3 linked regions of the Arabidopsis thaliana genome follow. The protein of the gene in region 1 purifies or fractionates together with the protein of each later gene. This does not show direct contact. Each region holds a gene or a part of one and is shown in the gene's direction. Other genes may lie near its edges.

What was found. The genes of interacting proteins can lie anywhere in the genome.
Region 2: the proteins of AT1G64190 (region 1) and AGD2 fractionate together in Arabidopsis thaliana (co-fractionation; one large-scale study listed by BioGRID). This does not show direct contact.
Region 3: the proteins of AT1G64190 (region 1) and ACO1 fractionate together in Arabidopsis thaliana (co-fractionation; one large-scale study listed by BioGRID). This does not show direct contact.

Annotation. Positions count from the first base shown.
Region 1 is NC_003070.9:23,824,782-23,828,792, reverse strand, and holds AT1G64190 (6-phosphogluconate dehydrogenase family protein), read left to right. Parts: upstream 1-1,656; 5' UTR 1,657-1,780; coding exon 1,781-3,244; 3' UTR 3,245-3,465; downstream 3,466-4,011. Other genes in the region: VHA-E3 (vacuolar H+-ATPase subunit E), read left to right, coding at 1-100; AT1G64195 (Defensin-like (DEFL) family protein), read left to right, coding at 745-803, 923-1,082; AT1G64185 (Lactoylglutathione lyase / glyoxalase I family protein), read right to left, coding at 3,641-3,697, 3,792-3,927. UniProt on the Arabidopsis thaliana protein: Catalyzes the oxidative decarboxylation of 6-phosphogluconate to ribulose 5-phosphate and CO(2), with concomitant reduction of NADP to NADPH.
Region 2 is NC_003075.7:16,171,151-16,176,551, reverse strand, and holds AGD2 (Pyridoxal phosphate (PLP)-dependent transferases superfamily protein), read left to right. Parts: upstream 1-1,828; 5' UTR 1,829-1,921; coding exon 1,922-2,004; intron 2,005-2,242; coding exon 2,243-2,319; intron 2,320-2,437; coding exon 2,438-2,505; intron 2,506-2,700; coding exon 2,701-2,817; intron 2,818-3,101; coding exon 3,102-3,164; intron 3,165-3,376; coding exon 3,377-3,481; intron 3,482-3,566; coding exon 3,567-3,617; intron 3,618-3,718; coding exon 3,719-4,039; intron 4,040-4,114; coding exon 4,115-4,321; intron 4,322-4,411; coding exon 4,412-4,705; 3' UTR 4,706-4,871; downstream 4,872-5,401. Other genes in the region: AT4G33700 (CBS domain protein (DUF21)), read left to right, coding at 1-5; AT4G33690 (G patch domain protein), read right to left, coding at 415-703, 809-1,091, 1,186-1,354; AT4G33670 (NAD(P)-linked oxidoreductase superfamily protein), read left to right, coding at 5,106-5,275. UniProt on the Arabidopsis thaliana protein: Required for lysine biosynthesis. Catalyzes the direct conversion of tetrahydrodipicolinate to LL-diaminopimelate, a reaction that requires three enzymes in E.coli. Not active with meso-diaminopimelate, lysine or ornithine as substrates.
Region 3 is NC_003075.7:16,972,132-16,979,876, reverse strand, and holds ACO1 (aconitase 1), read left to right. Parts: upstream 1-1,715; 5' UTR 1,716-1,927; coding exon 1,928-1,931; exon of another isoform or gene 1,932-2,083; coding exon 2,084-2,188; intron 2,189-2,294; coding exon 2,295-2,455; intron 2,456-2,559; coding exon 2,560-2,652; intron 2,653-2,743; coding exon 2,744-2,929; intron 2,930-3,013; coding exon 3,014-3,175; intron 3,176-3,297; coding exon 3,298-3,442; intron 3,443-3,556; coding exon 3,557-3,699; intron 3,700-3,796; coding exon 3,797-3,853; intron 3,854-3,953; coding exon 3,954-4,033; intron 4,034-4,113; coding exon 4,114-4,189; intron 4,190-4,430; coding exon 4,431-4,616; intron 4,617-4,699; coding exon 4,700-4,767; intron 4,768-4,851; coding exon 4,852-4,970; intron 4,971-5,056; coding exon 5,057-5,178; intron 5,179-5,269; coding exon 5,270-5,368; intron 5,369-5,457; coding exon 5,458-5,937; intron 5,938-6,278; coding exon 6,279-6,377; intron 6,378-6,451; coding exon 6,452-6,694; intron 6,695-6,801; and 3 more. Other genes in the region: AT4G35820 (2-oxoglutarate (2OG) and Fe(II)-dependent oxygenase superfamily protein), read right to left, coding at 7,448-7,634, 7,736-7,745. UniProt on the Arabidopsis thaliana protein: Catalyzes the isomerization of citrate to isocitrate via cis-aconitate. Contributes to oxidative stress tolerance. May have a role in respiration.

The DNA of each region.
Region 1 (4,011 bases):
CGTGTGTGAAAACACGCTTGATGCGAGGTTGGAGGTTGCCTTCCGCAATAAACTTCCAGAGGTTAAATTAAAATCCCCATTTGCTCTCTTAAATTTGTAGTACCATGTTCCTAAGCTTATACCTTCTTATTGGTTTCAAAACTCTTGAAACCTCATTTGTCTTGTCCTAAGTATTTTTAGTTTTGTTCTAAAGGATCTTTTCTTGAAATGTGTGTAGATCCGAAAGTCGCTCTTCGGCAAGGTTGGTGCAGCTTGATGAGTGACTCCAACTTTATAACCAAGGAAAGTTTGTGGCTCCATTTATCCATTTCTTTCTATTGTCACCATTTTTTCTAAATTATGTGTAATTTGTTGATGGGCATTGGTCTTTTGTTGTTAATTGATATAAATATTTGTTTGGTTTGGTGGTGTATTGATAATGATAAGAGTAAGTTGCTCATCATCTTGTCAACTTTTTATCCTAACTTTGTCACACTTTTTGTTACCTAAGATTTAGAACTTCTCCTTCGTGACACATGGTTGATTACAAGAAAGAAAGCGTCACAGGATGGTCAAAGTCTCATCCTTCTTCGTCAAATTCACATACTTTTTTTTAGATATACATAGCCATATTTATTTTTAGCTGTATATGCCTAATTGCCTATTTATTTAGATGGGTTCAAAGTCTCCTCCTTCTTGGCTAAATTCACACACTGTTATAGTGTTATTTGTTTGAAGGAACAAAAAAGAACTTCAATAAAGAAAATGGCGTCTAACAAAATCTCCTTCTCCTTTGTTCTTTGCCTATATATGTGCTCTCTATTGTTCATCATTACATTACACATCAAATAGACAATAGTTCATAGAAATCATTGTTTCTAATTTTCTTGGTTTAGTAAATGAACCCCTTAACTTTTTTTCTTATTAAAATTATAGAGTTAAGAGATGCAAAAAGTATGAATCCAACGGGAAGACGATGCCCAGATCCTAACGGTGTGGAGAAGAAAAGTATGTGTTACAGTTCCTGTAAGACACAAGGTTTTATGGGTGGTTCTTGTCAAGGCCACAAGGGTAATTACATGTGCGAGTGTTATGAAGGATAAACACCATCTCATTGATAAACTCTGTCTTGTTTAATTGATCCACTTAGTCTCCTATCATCATATAAGAAAGATACTTGGTTATCCAGTAGAATGGTGAGATCGTAGATGGAAAGTTGTCCGACCATTCAACATCGTCAAAAGGCTAATGTATCAAGTTGATGTAAAATAATTGAAAAACTTTTATAGAGACTAAAAAGAAGAGGTAGAGAGTCCAAGTTCGACATGGACACTACCATATTGATCGTATTAAAAAATGTTGTTACAACCAAAATATATATTAGATATGAAACATCATTAGAGATTAATAAATCAAACAGCCCACTAGTTGGATATTAAAAAAATTAAACGAATGTTATTGTATGAATTTTCGTAAGTCATTTGCATATAACGACAAGCAAATCCTTAAGCTATGATTAAATTTTTATGTTAGAGTGTGATTTGTAAACATTTTTAATTTAACAAAAACATTAGAATCATATTTGAAACAAAAACGGCAACGTTTGTTAACATGGAGTTCTAGACGAGACGACACCGTTTTGAAAAACATAGAGATCATCGTTTTCGTTTGTCCCTTGGCTCCATCGACGAGTCCGTCATTTTCACAGTATAAATATCTCCACCCACTCTCTCTCATCACTCCCACTACCTCATTTTTCTCTCTCTACCTAACCAATCCTAAGCTCATCTCTCTATCTCCAATGGAGTCCGCCGCACTATCCCGAATCGGTCTCGCCGGACTCGCCGTGATGGGCCAAAACCTCGCCTTAAACATCGCCGAGAAAGGTTTCCCAATCTCAGTCTACAATCGAACCACTTCCAAAGTCGACGAAACCCTAGATCGAGCCGCCGTCGAAGGAAACCTCCCAGTCTCCGGCCAATACTCTCCCCGCGATTTCGTCCTCTCGATCCAACGGCCTAGATCTCTCATCATCCTCGTCAAAGCTGGAGCTCCCGTTGACCAAACAATCGACGCCTTCTCCGAATACATGGAGCCAGGAGATTGCATCATCGACGGTGGAAACGAATGGTATCAGAACACAGAGCGACGGATCTCCGAAGCTGAGCAAAAAGGATTGCTCTATTTAGGTATGGGAGTCTCCGGCGGCGAAGAAGGAGCTCGTAACGGTCCTTCGTTAATGCCTGGTGGATCATTTCAAGCTTATGATAACATCAAAGATATTTTGGAGAAAGTCGCAGCTCAAGTTGAAGATGGACCTTGTGTTACTTACATCGGAGAAGGTGGATCTGGAAATTTCGTGAAGATGGTTCATAATGGGATTGAGTATGGAGATATGCAATTGATCTCTGAAGCTTATGATGTGTTGAAGAACGTTGGTGGATTAAGCAACGAGGAGCTTGCTGAGATTTTCACTGAGTGGAATTCAGGTGAGCTTGAGAGTTTCTTGGTTGAGATAACTTCTGATATATTTAGGGTTAAGGATGAGTTTGGTGATGGAGAGTTAGTTGATAAGATTTTGGATAAGACTGGTATGAAAGGTACTGGGAAATGGACGGTGCAGCAAGCGGCGGAGCTGTCTGTTGCAGCTCCGACGATTGCTGCTTCGTTGGATTGTAGGTATTTGAGTGGGTTGAAAGATGAGAGGGAGAATGCAGCGAAAGTGTTGAGGGAAGCTGGATTGAAAGAAGAGATTGGTTCTGCGTCGAGTGGAATCGATAAGAAGAGATTGGTTGATGATGTTAGGCAAGCTTTGTATGCTTCCAAGATTTGTAGTTATGCTCAAGGGATGAATTTGCTTAGAGCTAAGAGTTTAGAGAAGAGTTGGAACTTGAATTTTGGTGAATTGGCTAGGATTTGGAAAGGTGGTTGTATTATAAGAGCGGTTTTCTTGGATAGGATCAAGAAAGCTTACCAGAGGAACCCGGACTTGGCTAGTCTTGTGGTTGATCCTGAGTTTGCTAAAGAGATGGTTCAGAGACAAGCTGCTTGGAGAAGAGTTGTTGGTTTGGCTGTTTCTGCTGGGATTAGCACGCCTGGAATGTGTGCTAGTCTTGCGTATTTCGATACTTATAGACGTGCTAGATTGCCGGCGAATCTGGTTCAGGCGCAGAGAGATCTCTTTGGAGCTCACACTTATGAGAGAACCGATCGTCCTGGTGCGTACCATACTGAATGGACTAAGCTTGCCAGGAAGAACCATTGAAAAATCCCTTTCTGTTTTTGTAAAAGCCCTATTTGTCTTGCTTATTTTTGAGCAATTGGAAATGGGATTTCAAACCACATTGTTTAACACGAGTATTTTGTTCAGATTTCAGAATAAGAAATGCAGCAGCACCTTGATTTTTGTTTTTGTTTCTGAACATCTTTGCTTTTAAATTTGTAAAACATATCTCCCCTGTCTTTAATAGATCGAATGTCTAGACGATTAGTTGAACAATCAATTAACGACTTTTCTGCGCCGGATATATTAGATTTACATTTGTCTTAGAGCTAAGTCCTTACCAAACATCCGATTAGCAAAATTTTGAAACATTATTCAACCAAAATCGGATCGAAAAAAACAAAATCAAATCCACATAATCCGAACTGAATAGAAAACTCATGAAGGTTCATAGAGTCCGAGCACATGACCATCAAGACATCTCACAGAAGCAACCTGGTTATCAAGAAAAAGAAAGATTTGAATTCTTATCAAAAGAAATGTTAGACAATGAGATTAAAGCATTTGCAGGAAGTGGTTGCGTTTTTACCTTGCCATGGACTTCATATTTGATAGAGCCATCGAGTTCAGCTCCTAATTCCATAAGTTTAGAGATTGTTGTATTAATGTCTGCTACAGTGAACGATAGTAACGAAGAGTATCCTTTCTCACTCATCACATGCTCGCTGCATCAAAAACAATGATGGCTCTATAATTTAACACAGATTCTCTATAAGTTCCACATTTTCAATCAGACAGGACAGTGAACT
Region 2 (5,401 bases), on another chromosome or scaffold:
CCTAACACAGAGTGCATGACCACTGAACTGGTTATGAATGTCGAAAACTTTAGTCTTTGTTTTCAACTTTCAAACTGTCACTTGTCCGGCGAATGTGTATCAATGTAGGCATGAACAACAACTTTTTCTATGGTTTCAAGATGTTTTCTCTCTATATATATATCATTGGTCTCTAAGATATGTCGCTCTCTCCTTTCTTCAAAGAGTTTTACCAAATCTGAACCCTCATAGGCCACACCAATAGTTGTCTCTACTACCTATATATCATTAGTCTCTAAGATATGTCACTCTCTACCTTACTTCAAAGAGTTTTTATTCGCATTTTACTAATACAAGAATTAATGAAATATGATCATCTTATGGATACAACATCACTGCCGGTGTAAAAAGGCAATTACTTTTGTCCGGAAAGATCTAGTCCCTACCATATTTTCTCTTCTTCCTATCCCTTTTCTTCTCTTTTGACTTGTGTTTCTTACTAAGTTTCTTCTTATGCTCCTTTCTCTTTCTATGAGCCCGTTTGTAAACTTCCTCCTCGTCGGAAGAAGAAGAATCTGTCCTACGTCTCAATAAAGGTGATCGCTCTGGCTGAATCACTAGCTTCCGATCTCCTGTATCAGAAGTTCTTGACAATTCCCTCTCAGGAAGACAGGGTAGCGGTTCATCCATCATAGCACCAACAGAACCTCTGCCACGCTTGACCCTATCATAGACCAGAATCACAAGTTTTATCAGCAAAAGCCGATCCCAAATTCGATCATTATTGTAAAGGAAATAATCAGGCAGCATCTGAGTATAATGGAAATACCTTGATTGGAGAAAAGTCTTAACCTCGACATCTCCTAAGCCTTCATCATCATCATCCTCTGATTGCCATCTTTTGCTTCTGCTCCGGCTTGATGATGGTGATAAACTAGTAGTAGTAACATTCTCATCAACTGAAGTACATCTCTTTAAAAAATCCCTCCTATTGTTCTGCTCACTTTGACCATTGCTGCTCTCATCTCTTGATTTTCTTTTGAGCCTTTCACCAAACTCAATCTCTTTACTCCGAAGACTCCACATCTCATTGGTTTCCACAGCTTTGTTTGCTGAATGGAATAAAGAAGAAACAAATAAGAGATAAACTAAAAAAAAACTAGATTTTGTTGGATAGAAGCAAAGTCTGTCAACAAAAGATTATACCTTGCTGAACACCAAGAACTGTAGCAGTGAGAAATCTAGAGTTAGGTCGATGCCTTACATTAGGCTTCTCAAGATATGCTCTGACGCCATCTTTCTCAGCTTGTCTCCTCAATTCTGCTGCTTCTCTTAAAAGAATGGAAGCTATTCGATTTTCAGTTTCCAGATCCATCTACTCCAAGGTAAAACAAAAAAGTATAAGCCTAATCAAGTTATGTGATCAAATCAATCTGGGTAGATCAAACAAAGATGGAGTTGAACTTAATTCGACCACTACAGCTATCTAAATCATTGCTTCTTAATCACAGAACTTCCACTAAAGCTACGTTCTTTCGACAACGAAATCAACGAAGCAAAACAAACAAAATTACGTAAACACACAACAATCGAAAAGGGGATTTTTGGAGAACCCTATTGGTCGAGATTAATTACCACGAAATCGAATTGACTCAGATACAGATATCTAGTAGCAGCTTCACGAAATCGTGCGATTCCTCGGCGTTTTCCAGCAGGCGCAGAGCAAAATCATTGTCCGAGCCAGAGAGAGAAATAAATAAATTGAACTGAATTGGAAAATTCCCAAAAATTTCTAGTAAAACCGAACCGGAACAAACCGGATTAATTTCCTCTCAGACCAAACCGAAGAAGAACCCTAGTTTTATCAGTCTCACCAACTATCTCCCATGGTTCATTTGCTCTGCAAATTTGTCTGAAAAAATCTTTGTGCGAAGCAGGAAAAATGTCGTCGACCCATCAGTTAGTTTCTTCGATGATCTCTTCTTCCTCATCCACTTTCTTAGCCCCTTCAAATTTTAATCTCAGGTGCGTCGTTTTGTTTTCTTTTACTCTCTGTTTGCTACTGATATAATCTAGTGAGGATGAATATGAAATTGGATTCATTTCCAGAAATTAATTGTATGTTATGAATTTACTTGGAAATTTCAATCCTTTGGTTTTTAAGTCGATGTTGGATGGTGTTGTTTGGCCAGAGAACAGTGCATTTGCTTGTGATGATCATTGATTCATTTTTTTATTGGTTTGCTTTCCTTTTTGGCTTCAGAACTCGAAATGCTTGCTTACCCATGGCAAAACGGGTCAATACTTGCAAATGTGTTGCTACGCCGCAAGAGAAGATCGGTAATGTTCCTACTCCATGTTGTTTTTGCTGTAATGATTAGTAACATAGTTAATGATTTATCGTCTTTTAGCTGTTTATCTGTTTCTTACAATACATGATTTTGTTTTCTGTATGTAGAGTATAAGACCAAAGTGTCACGGAATTCAAACATGTCCAAACTTCAGGCTGGATACCTATTCCCGGAGGTTTGTTACCTGTTACTCTCTTGGTACTACTATTTAAGATTTCAAATACCTAAAGGAGTGGCATTTCAAGTTAACATTTTTGAAAGCTTCTAGTGATCTGAAATATTATAACTATCTGTGTAATAAGTTAATATATCCTCATTGATTCTGTATATAATGCTCCTCTCTCTTATTTTTTTGTGTGGATGCAAACAGATTGCAAGAAGAAGGTCTGCACACTTGTTGAAATATCCAGATGCACAAGTTATAAGTCTTGGAATAGGCGACACAACTGAGCCAATTCCTGAAGTGATCACTTCTGCTATGGCAAAGGTACCTCCTTATCTTAACTTAGCTTCATGTGCTCTTTGCCCTTCTCTGGGCTCTAGCATATTTTAAACTGATTTTACTAACACTGCCCTAACATGTATTATTTCGTTCATTTTGACAAAAATGTATAACATATTTTCTGTTTTGGCGTATTTGGATTATTAAACGAGAACTTCTCTGTAATCTAACAATGAAAATTATTCTGGTAGCATAGTTTTTTTGTTTGCTATACTATTCACACAGGCATGTAATCTCTAGAGATTAATCATGTTTTTTTTCTCTGACAGAAAGCTCATGAGTTGTCAACAATAGAGGGATATAGTGGTTATGGTGCTGAACAAGGTGCAAAGGTCAGTGCACCCTTCATTTCCACCTTATTGCGTTGTTATCATTTCTTTATTATCTGCCTTTGCACGTCACTTCAATTTTATTATGGATAGTCTTGAACTGCTGCTAAATTCAAGAGAAGATGGATTTAAACCTGTTTCTTACATGTAAAATCTTAAAGCTTAATCTGTTAAGTTTTTATCCAAACTAACCTTGATTTCACATATGTGAAAAGCCACTGAGAGCTGCTATTGCGAAAACATTCTACGGTGGCCTTGGCATAGGGGATGATGACGTTTTTGTTTCTGATGGAGCTAAATGTGATATCTCACGTCTCCAGGTTTGTTTTATTGCTGACTATTCATCTGTAATTGATACAAGATTAAGAAATATGAACAGCTGTTTCTTGATTCCACTTCTTGCAGGTTATGTTTGGTTCCAATGTTACAATTGCTGTTCAGGATCCTTCATATCCGGTAATTGGGCATATAGAAACCAAATTGCAGTTGTAGTCTTCTCTACTTTTGCTCCATTTTAACGTGGAACTATGCTGTCTCGTTTTTTTTGGATTATACAGGCTTATGTGGACTCCAGTGTTATTATGGGTCAGACTGGGCAATTTAACACTGATGTGCAAAAGTATGGAAACATCGAGTACATGAGATGCACTCCAGAGAATGGCTTCTTTCCCGACTTGTCCACCGTTGGCAGGACAGATATAATTTTCTTCTGTTCCCCAAATAACCCTACGGGTGCTGCTGCCACGAGAGAGCAACTAACGCAGTTAGTTGAGTTTGCAAAGAAGAACGGTTCTATAATAGTGTATGATTCCGCCTATGCAATGTACATGTCTGATGATAACCCACGATCCATCTTCGAAATCCCTGGAGCAGAGGAGGTAATAGACTGATTGATTATAACATTAAAAGGTCCATTTTTCAACATCTTTCTTCATGTGTACAACCGCTTACAGGTCGCTATGGAGACAGCTTCGTTCAGCAAATATGCTGGTTTCACTGGAGTTCGACTTGGTTGGACTGTCATCCCGAAAAAGCTACTCTATTCAGACGGTTTCCCTGTTGCCAAAGACTTCAATCGGATTATCTGCACTTGTTTCAATGGTGCATCTAATATCTCTCAAGCTGGTGCTCTTGCTTGCCTTACACCCGAAGGACTTGAGGTTAGCTTAGCTAAAGAGAGATCTCAAACCAGTTCCCACTAGTTCAGATATGCAAAATGATTTATTTTGTTGTCTTTTGAATCATTGCAGGCAATGCATAAGGTGATTGGATTCTATAAAGAAAACACAAACATAATCATTGACACATTCACATCTCTCGGGTATGATGTATATGGAGGAAAGAATGCGCCTTACGTATGGGTTCACTTCCCGAACCAAAGCTCATGGGATGTGTTTGCTGAGATTCTGGAGAAGACTCATGTGGTTACAACTCCAGGAAGTGGGTTTGGACCAGGGGGTGAAGGGTTCGTTCGTGTCAGTGCCTTTGGTCACAGAGAGAACATCTTAGAGGCATGTCGAAGATTCAAGCAGCTTTACAAATGAAGAACCTTGTTTGTAATCGTTCCTCATCATCATCACCCTCTTTAATGACATGATTTGAGTTAAAATAATGTCGTTTCCATTGTTTTCTGGAATTTGTAGAAGACACTTTTGACACCAGTGTTTCAAGCAATTTGGCAAAGTATTTTAACAACGAAATCAAAGTGCAAATAAGTGAACTAGTGTGGAAAATAAAATATTTAAATTGGACTGAGGAAGAACGTCAAAAAAATATAAAATTGGATTGGTTAAATAAATCTAAAATTGGACCGGGATGGGTGTTTTCGTAATTTAGGCTTGTTGAGCCACCGTGTGGGCAAAAATATCCAAAAACACAACACAAGTGTTGTCTTCTCGCGTCTCTCATCAACGAGAACCAGTTTTTTTGTTGATCCTATCAACAATGACGAAAATAGAGCTTCGAGCTTTGGGGAACACAGGGCTTAAGGTTAGCGCCGTTGGTTTTGGTGCCTCTCCGCTCGGAAGTGTCTTCGGTCCAGTCGCCGAAGATGATGCCGTCGCCACCGTGCGCGAGGCTTTCCGTCTCGGTATCAACTTCTTCGACACCTCCCCGTAAGCACTTCTTCTTCTTTTATATTTTCTAAAGATTACTGATTCTTCAATACTAATTGCTGATTCTCTGAATGTTGAGACTAATTTAATCGTTAAAGTCAAAATTTTTATTGGAAGGTTTCATAT
Region 3 (7,745 bases), on another chromosome or scaffold:
CTGCTGAGAGTGAGTTTCTCTATGTACTGTAATGAACTTGGCCGATCGTGTTTTACTAGTTTTTCTCTTGAAAGAAAAATTCGTATTACTGGTACTTGGACTAAAATTTGGTCTCCACACCACTCTCCTCTAATCATTTTACAAACAATTCTATATTTGAGAGAGGATATTATTGAACATGATACAAATTAAATAATATTTTATGAGTACGTATTTGCATCTTGTGAGAAAGAATTAAGTGTTTTCTAAGGGAAATATTAACAATGGGTAAGTGAAAGTAACAGAATGTTTTACCTATAAGGATGTATAATAATATAAAGAGAGAGGAAAAGAAAAAGCCAAATAGACAAAGAAGATATAATTATGATTGGTAGGTTATCTACATGCTGACCAAAGTCACATTTTTACCGGTGGTGCGTCTTTGTGTTGGCGTGATTGATAATTTAACCCGGCCACCACTTGCATCTGCTCCTTAATTTATTTGTAATTGTATGGAAGCATCATCAAATCAACTCCATAAATATAAGATACTTTATAAGCTTTCGTCCATATTAAAATAAACAATTTTTTTTTTTTATAACTTCTTTCTTATTGATATTAGCTTAAAAGATCGTATAAACAAACTTATATACGATCAAACAAACTAAAAAAGAGAGTTCTTTATCAAAAACAAACAAACTAAAAAGAGACGATAAATGAAAGAGATAACAATAGTATGTAATTGTCCTTACATAAAAAAAAAATATGAGCCACGCCAAATCTAAAACGATTTCGTTAAACATATATAGTTCTCGATATTTATCAACAAAGACGATGTAATTCGTAATCTATATACGTACATCTTCTTAACTTTTTTAAAAATATAAAAAGGTGCTTCAGATTCAAGGGACTGAAACTAGTGAGGTTTCTTAAAAGCAGATATATACACTGACCACGTTCAGGTTAATAGTTAGTAGATTTTTAGGTGGATAGTAATATATTGATGGACAATATTTAAATACAGACTATAAAATTTAAGAGACTTGAAGTGTTCCTAAGAGTAAATTTAATTATACATTTTAATCATGGCCTGAAAAACTAAACAAGGAGGGGTAGAATAATTAATCATCTCAGCAGCTTTCCATCTGGACACACCATTCAGCTAAACGACATTGTTTAATCTCTAACCAAACTGGGCTAGACCGAACTGGGTACAAAGATGGGTTAAACTGGGCTAGGCCCAAATTAATCAGAACATAAATTTCGAACGGAGCGACCCATTTCCAAAATAAAAAAATGTTTTTTATATATATATATATATATATATATTTTTTTTTTTTTTAAATCGTTGCATGCAGGTTGGTGGCGATATTTTTTGGTTTTGTCACCAGGTGGTGGTGAAATAAACGACGATCATTGAATATTTTTGGTGTCTTGTATATGTTTGTGTCATTGTGTGTATTTTTTTTTGGTGTGTTGTAACGACGATCATTGATTGTATATGTTTGTCAGAAATTAAGGTTTTTTTAATCAATCAATGCCATGTGAAATTGAGAAACCTTGAAGAAAATTGGATTACATAAAACTAGATACTATAGAGAAGAGGCACATATCAGATTGGTGGATTATAAGTTTGTGAAAATAAAATCATGATTGAACAGATATAATTCACTTGATACAAAAAAAAGCAAAGAATGGATATTCACAAAAAAAAAAAGTTGGATAATTAAGAAAATAGAATATAAAATAAAAATAAAAATCAAACAGCCATCAGTTCTGACGAAAAGAGCCCACCACGGATCTGTCAGATTTATTTCCTTCTTACATATAAAAAAAATCTGAATCGGCTCAGGCTCGTGTAGCCTCACCAACTCCGCTTATAAACTTTCTCTCTTCTGAAAACAGATCTCTCTACTTTGCTTCTTCACTCGACTTGTATCTATCATCCATGGGTATCGATTTATCTGTTTACGATCCAAAATGATTCATGTTTCTTATTTCTTCTTCTCGCCGATGCTGATTTTCCAGCTATTTTTCGTTTTTTTGAAATCTGGTTCTGTATTTTGATTTGCTGTGTGGATCTCTGTTTCTGATGTGTTTTCAGCTTCCGAGAATCCTTTCCGAAGCATATTGAAGGCGTTAGAGAAGCCTGATGGTGGTGAATTCGGTAACTACTACAGCTTACCTGCTTTGAACGATCCCAGGATCGGTGAGTTTCCTTTTATCTCTGATAGATATTATAATATTTTGTTAGAAGACGTTGTTATGATCTCGTTGGTGAGAGTTTTATGAGAGAAATGTTGTGGTGGATGCAGATAAACTACCTTATTCCATTAGGATACTTCTTGAATCGGCCATACGTAACTGTGATGAGTTCCAAGTTAAGAGCAAAGATGTTGAGAAGATTCTTGATTGGGAGAATACTTCTCCCAAGCAGGTTGAGATTCCGTTCAAGCCTGCTCGGGTTCTTCTTCAGGTAGACAATGATTGGTTGCTATACACATTCTTGATGACATAATGATGTTTCTGATTTCCTGAAAATGCTAGAATGTGATATCATTTTTTCTATTTGTTTTTCAGGACTTTACTGGTGTTCCTGCTGTTGTTGATCTTGCTTGCATGAGAGATGCCATGAATAATCTCGGTGGTGATTCTAATAAAATTAATCCGCTGGTTAGTTTCCTCGCTTTTTACTGAGATTGGTTAATGATTTGTGTTCTTTTGGTATGCTATAAGGTTTGATACAAGGCCTTGATAATTGCAGGTCCCTGTAGATCTTGTCATTGATCACTCCGTTCAGGTGGATGTGGCGAGATCAGAGAACGCAGTGCAGGCAAACATGGAGCTTGAGTTCCAGCGTAACAAGGAAAGATTTGCTTTTCTTAAGTGGGGATCCAACGCCTTTCACAACATGCTTGTCGTACCTCCTGGATCTGGAATAGTTCATCAAGTAAGTAGAGGATTCAGGGACAACGGTATTGCTTGGAAACTTAAAGTATTTTTATGCTAAATTCTATAATTTTGCAATTGACAGGTCAACCTAGAATACCTTGCCAGAGTTGTTTTCAACACAAATGGACTTCTTTACCCAGACAGTGTTGTTGGCACAGACTCTCACACCACTATGATTGATGGACTGGGTGTTGCTGGATGGGGAGTTGGCGGTATAGAAGCGGAAGCTACCATGCTTGGTCAGGTAAATCAGATGCTCTTTCGGTCGAGAACTCATAGCTAACTGTCTAACCTCTTTCTGAAACTTTGGTTCTAAACTACATCCTTTCAATAATTCTAATAGACTTTCCATCTCTTTATATGCAGCCAATGAGCATGGTCCTACCCGGTGTTGTGGGTTTCAAGCTAACGGGAAAGTTAAGAGATGGAATGACAGCTACTGATTTGGTCTTAACAGTGACTCAGATGTTGAGGAAACATGGAGTAGTTGGAAAGTTTGTTGAATTCCACGGTACGTTGATAAAAGATTTGATATCATATTTCATATATGTCTCTTATTTACTTACATAGTACCTTACCGAGTTAGGCTAGCTCACATATGCATCGACTGCTTTTTCATACACAGGGGAAGGGATGAGAGAATTGTCTTTAGCTGACCGTGCTACAATTGCCAATATGTCTCCTGAGTACGGTGCGACCATGGGATTCTTCCCAGTCGATCATGTCACTTTGCAGTATCTAAGGTTGACAGGCAGGAGCGATGACACTGTAAGAAAATGCACAAAATGTCACATTTGGGAAAATCTTCATTATTTAGTGTGTTAAAGACTTTCATAATGGTATTGATTTGTGAATTGGATTGCAGGTCTCCATGATAGAGGCGTATTTACGAGCAAACAAGATGTTTGTGGATTACAGTGAGGTAAACCTTGGGCATCCTTAATACTTCATTTCTTATGCCTATTGTCATATATCATATTTGCATAACATATGCTTCACTTGGAACTTGTTGCACATCTCAGCCGGAGAGTAAGACAGTTTATTCCTCATGTCTGGAATTGAATCTCGAGGATGTGGAACCTTGTGTTTCTGGTCCCAAGAGGTACTATTAGTGAATGATTCGACAGAAAATTATCTAGGATCCATTCTACTTACAATGTCTATTCTCTGTGCACAATACAGGCCTCATGATCGTGTTCCTTTGAAGGAAATGAAAGCGGACTGGCATTCTTGCTTGGACAATAGAGTAGGATTCAAGGTTAGTACTCTCCTTTCTGTTGAGAAGATGTGAATGCTTGCAGTCCCGAGAGCTTAATTTGTAGGAAATTATGACACCTCTAGCTATTGTTACTGTAATTTTGAAAGAATGGTACGTATTCGAGTCTTTAAGCGGGTCCAATAAACTAACTTGTACGTTCTGCAACACTTCTGAATTTATAACCTACTTCCATTTTTTCAAAAATAGTGGTTAGTGATACTACTTATCCATGATTTTCCAGGGTTTCGCTGTACCTAAAGAAGCACAGAGTAAGGCTGTAGAGTTCAATTTTAACGGGACCACAGCACAGCTTAGACATGGAGATGTTGTTATAGCAGCAATCACCAGTTGCACAAATACTTCAAACCCTAGTGTAATGCTTGGCGCTGCCTTAGTTGCAAAAAAGGCCTGCGACCTAGGACTGGAGGTTTGACTACTTGTGTGATAGTGATTTAATATCTTTATGTGCAATGGAAATAATAGAAGTGTTTGAAATTTCTCAATTATTAGGTTAAGCCATGGATCAAAACTAGTCTTGCTCCAGGCTCTGGAGTTGTAACAAAGTACTTGGCAAAGAGGTGCTGCAGATACACCGTTGAATGTTTTGTTATTTATTTCCTTATCCTTTGTATTGTGTGGTCCTGAGTTTTCAAGTCTTGCAGTGGCTTGCAGAAGTACTTGAATCAGCTCGGCTTCAGTATCGTTGGTTATGGGTGCACCACATGCATTGGAAACTCGGGGGATATCCATGAAGCTGTGGCTTCAGCAATAGTTGATAATGGTAATTCCTTAAGTAGTTAATGAAGTAATGCTTCTTCACTTGAATTTTCGAAGGTCAAACTAAAAGATTTCTCATATATGTACAAGACTTGGTGGCATCCGCTGTGTTGTCTGGGAACAGAAATTTTGAGGGACGTGTTCACCCGTTAACAAGAGCTAACTATCTAGCTTCCCCACCGCTTGTTGTAGCCTATGCTCTGGCTGGAACTGTATGTTAATGCTAACTCTAAAGCCATTTCACAACATTCAAGCATTCTTGTTATATGAAGCACAGAATCATTCACATGAATATTCTTGTAGGTTGACATTGATTTTGAGACACAGCCCATTGGAACTGGGAAAGATGGAAAACAGATATTTTTCAGGGACATTTGGCCCTCTAACAAAGAAGTTGCTGAGGTAAATATATATGGGCTACTTGTGTAATACGTAAACAATGAGATATTATAAGTGGAGGGGATGCCAAATTCTCTGTTTCGATTTTTCAGGTTGTTCAATCTAGTGTCCTTCCTGATATGTTCAAAGCTACATATGAAGCAATCACCAAAGGAAATTCCATGTGGAATCAGTTATCTGTGGCGTCAGGTACTCTCTATGAGTGGGACCCGAAATCAACTTACATTCACGAGCCGCCTTATTTCAAGGGCATGACCATGTCTCCACCCGGTCCACATGGTGTGAAAGACGCATACTGTTTACTCAATTTTGGAGACAGTATTACCACTGATCACATCTCACCAGCTGGTAGCATCCACAAGGACAGTCCTGCGGCTAAGTACTTGATGGAACGAGGTGTGGATAGAAGAGACTTCAACTCATACGGGAGTCGCCGTGGTAATGATGAGATTATGGCGAGAGGCACTTTTGCAAATATCCGTATTGTCAACAAACACTTGAAAGGAGAAGTTGGTCCCAAAACAGTTCACATTCCCACTGGAGAGAAGCTTTCTGTTTTCGATGCTGCCATGGTATAATCTCACTTTTTTTTTTATCCTTTTGAAAACATCAAATTCAAGCTCTTTGGTCATGAGGTTGGGGTAGGATTACGATAAGCTTTGAATAAGCACTACAGCTCTACTCTTAGCTATAGGTCTACTGTATCTAGCCTAGGACTGAATGTAGTAGATTAGAGCTGTTGTGAGTTGGTTTATAGAACAGTTAGTGAAGGCTGAGGTAATAATAATGTCTCAGCAGATTGTCTTGGGGGTGGAAATTTTGTTGTTTGATTCTCTGATTTGGTCAGTTGGAATTAGAATAGCAGTTCATAGCTTTGTTTTAATCAGATTATTCTCTCCTCGTGCTGTACCAGAAATATAGGAACGAGGGACGCGACACAATCATTTTGGCTGGTGCTGAATACGGTAGTGGAAGTTCTCGTGATTGGGCTGCCAAGGGTCCAATGCTTCTGGTACATTTTCTGTATTTAACAAACACGTTCTTACACTTATTTTATGCGGTTTCTTTAAAAAATTGTGACAACAGGGTGTGAAAGCTGTGATTTCAAAGAGCTTCGAGCGAATTCACCGAAGCAATTTGGTGGGAATGGGAATCATACCTTTGTGCTTCAAGGCGGGAGAAGATGCTGAGACCCTTGGCCTAACGGGTCAGGAGCTTTACACCATTGAGCTCCCAAACAATGTTAGTGAGATCAAACCAGGACAAGATGTAACAGTCGTCACAAACAATGGCAAATCTTTCACATGTACACTCCGATTTGACACAGAGGTAAGTTATCTCTAGATGATATATTTTCGTCTTTTCGTCTTTGAGTTTTTTTTTTAGCTCTAAAACAAAATGAGATGAGATAAGTAAGAGGAATTTGGAATCGACAGGTGGAGTTGGCTTATTTCGATCACGGAGGGATTTTGCAATACGTTATCAGGAACTTGATCAAACAATAAATCTGGTAACACCAGAGACTTGAGTTATATATCCCAAGGTTTGTTGCAATAAAAATGTTTGCAGGGAGGAGGACGAGAATGACTTTAATTTAAACTTTTGCTTTTGTTCTTCTTCGTCTCTTGCTTCGTGCTAGTCAATTGGAAACATTATCACTGTCGAGTCATTTTTTTTCTTTCAAATAAACATGCGAGCTCTTTTTTTGTTGTTGTTGTTCATAAGCATTGTCAATGCTGCATTGATAGAAGTATACTCTACCATTAGAAAATAAACACAAATACACAAAGTAATCTAAAGAGCTAGAGGATGAAAATTATCTTGTGAAGGTTGTACAAAAACATTAAAAAAAATCTGAGATGATCCAAAGGATTGATTATCACATTCGAAGTGATGGTCAGAGATTACCTCTTGGAATGTTGTGTAGAGTTGATGAACTTATGAGAGCGGAACCATTTGGTTGATGCCCACTTGGTTCCTTTGATTACTGGACTCCCACCTAAATCAAACAGACAAATTTTTGAGAAATTTGTTTTACATCTCATGATCTCAAACAAGTTATAATTAAGGGTTTATTACGATTTAAAACAAGTTTAGAGAAAGGCAATGCCTCTTACCATGCTTACTCGAAGGGTCTCGAGACCCGTCGGGTCTCATGCTCCAAAAGAGTAAAGCGTCTCCCTTCTTCGGTCTAACAGAGACTCCTTTTTTACTTTTAATTCCTTTGGCTTCAGGGAAAACTGTTTCGCCGCCTTTATCAACATCCGAGCTAATTAGTCATACGATGAGAAAAGAAAACAAGATTAACTTATGCAAATATTGTAAAATTTTTACATGGCTGATGAGAAAGATTATAAAGGGTTTACATACAGATACATAA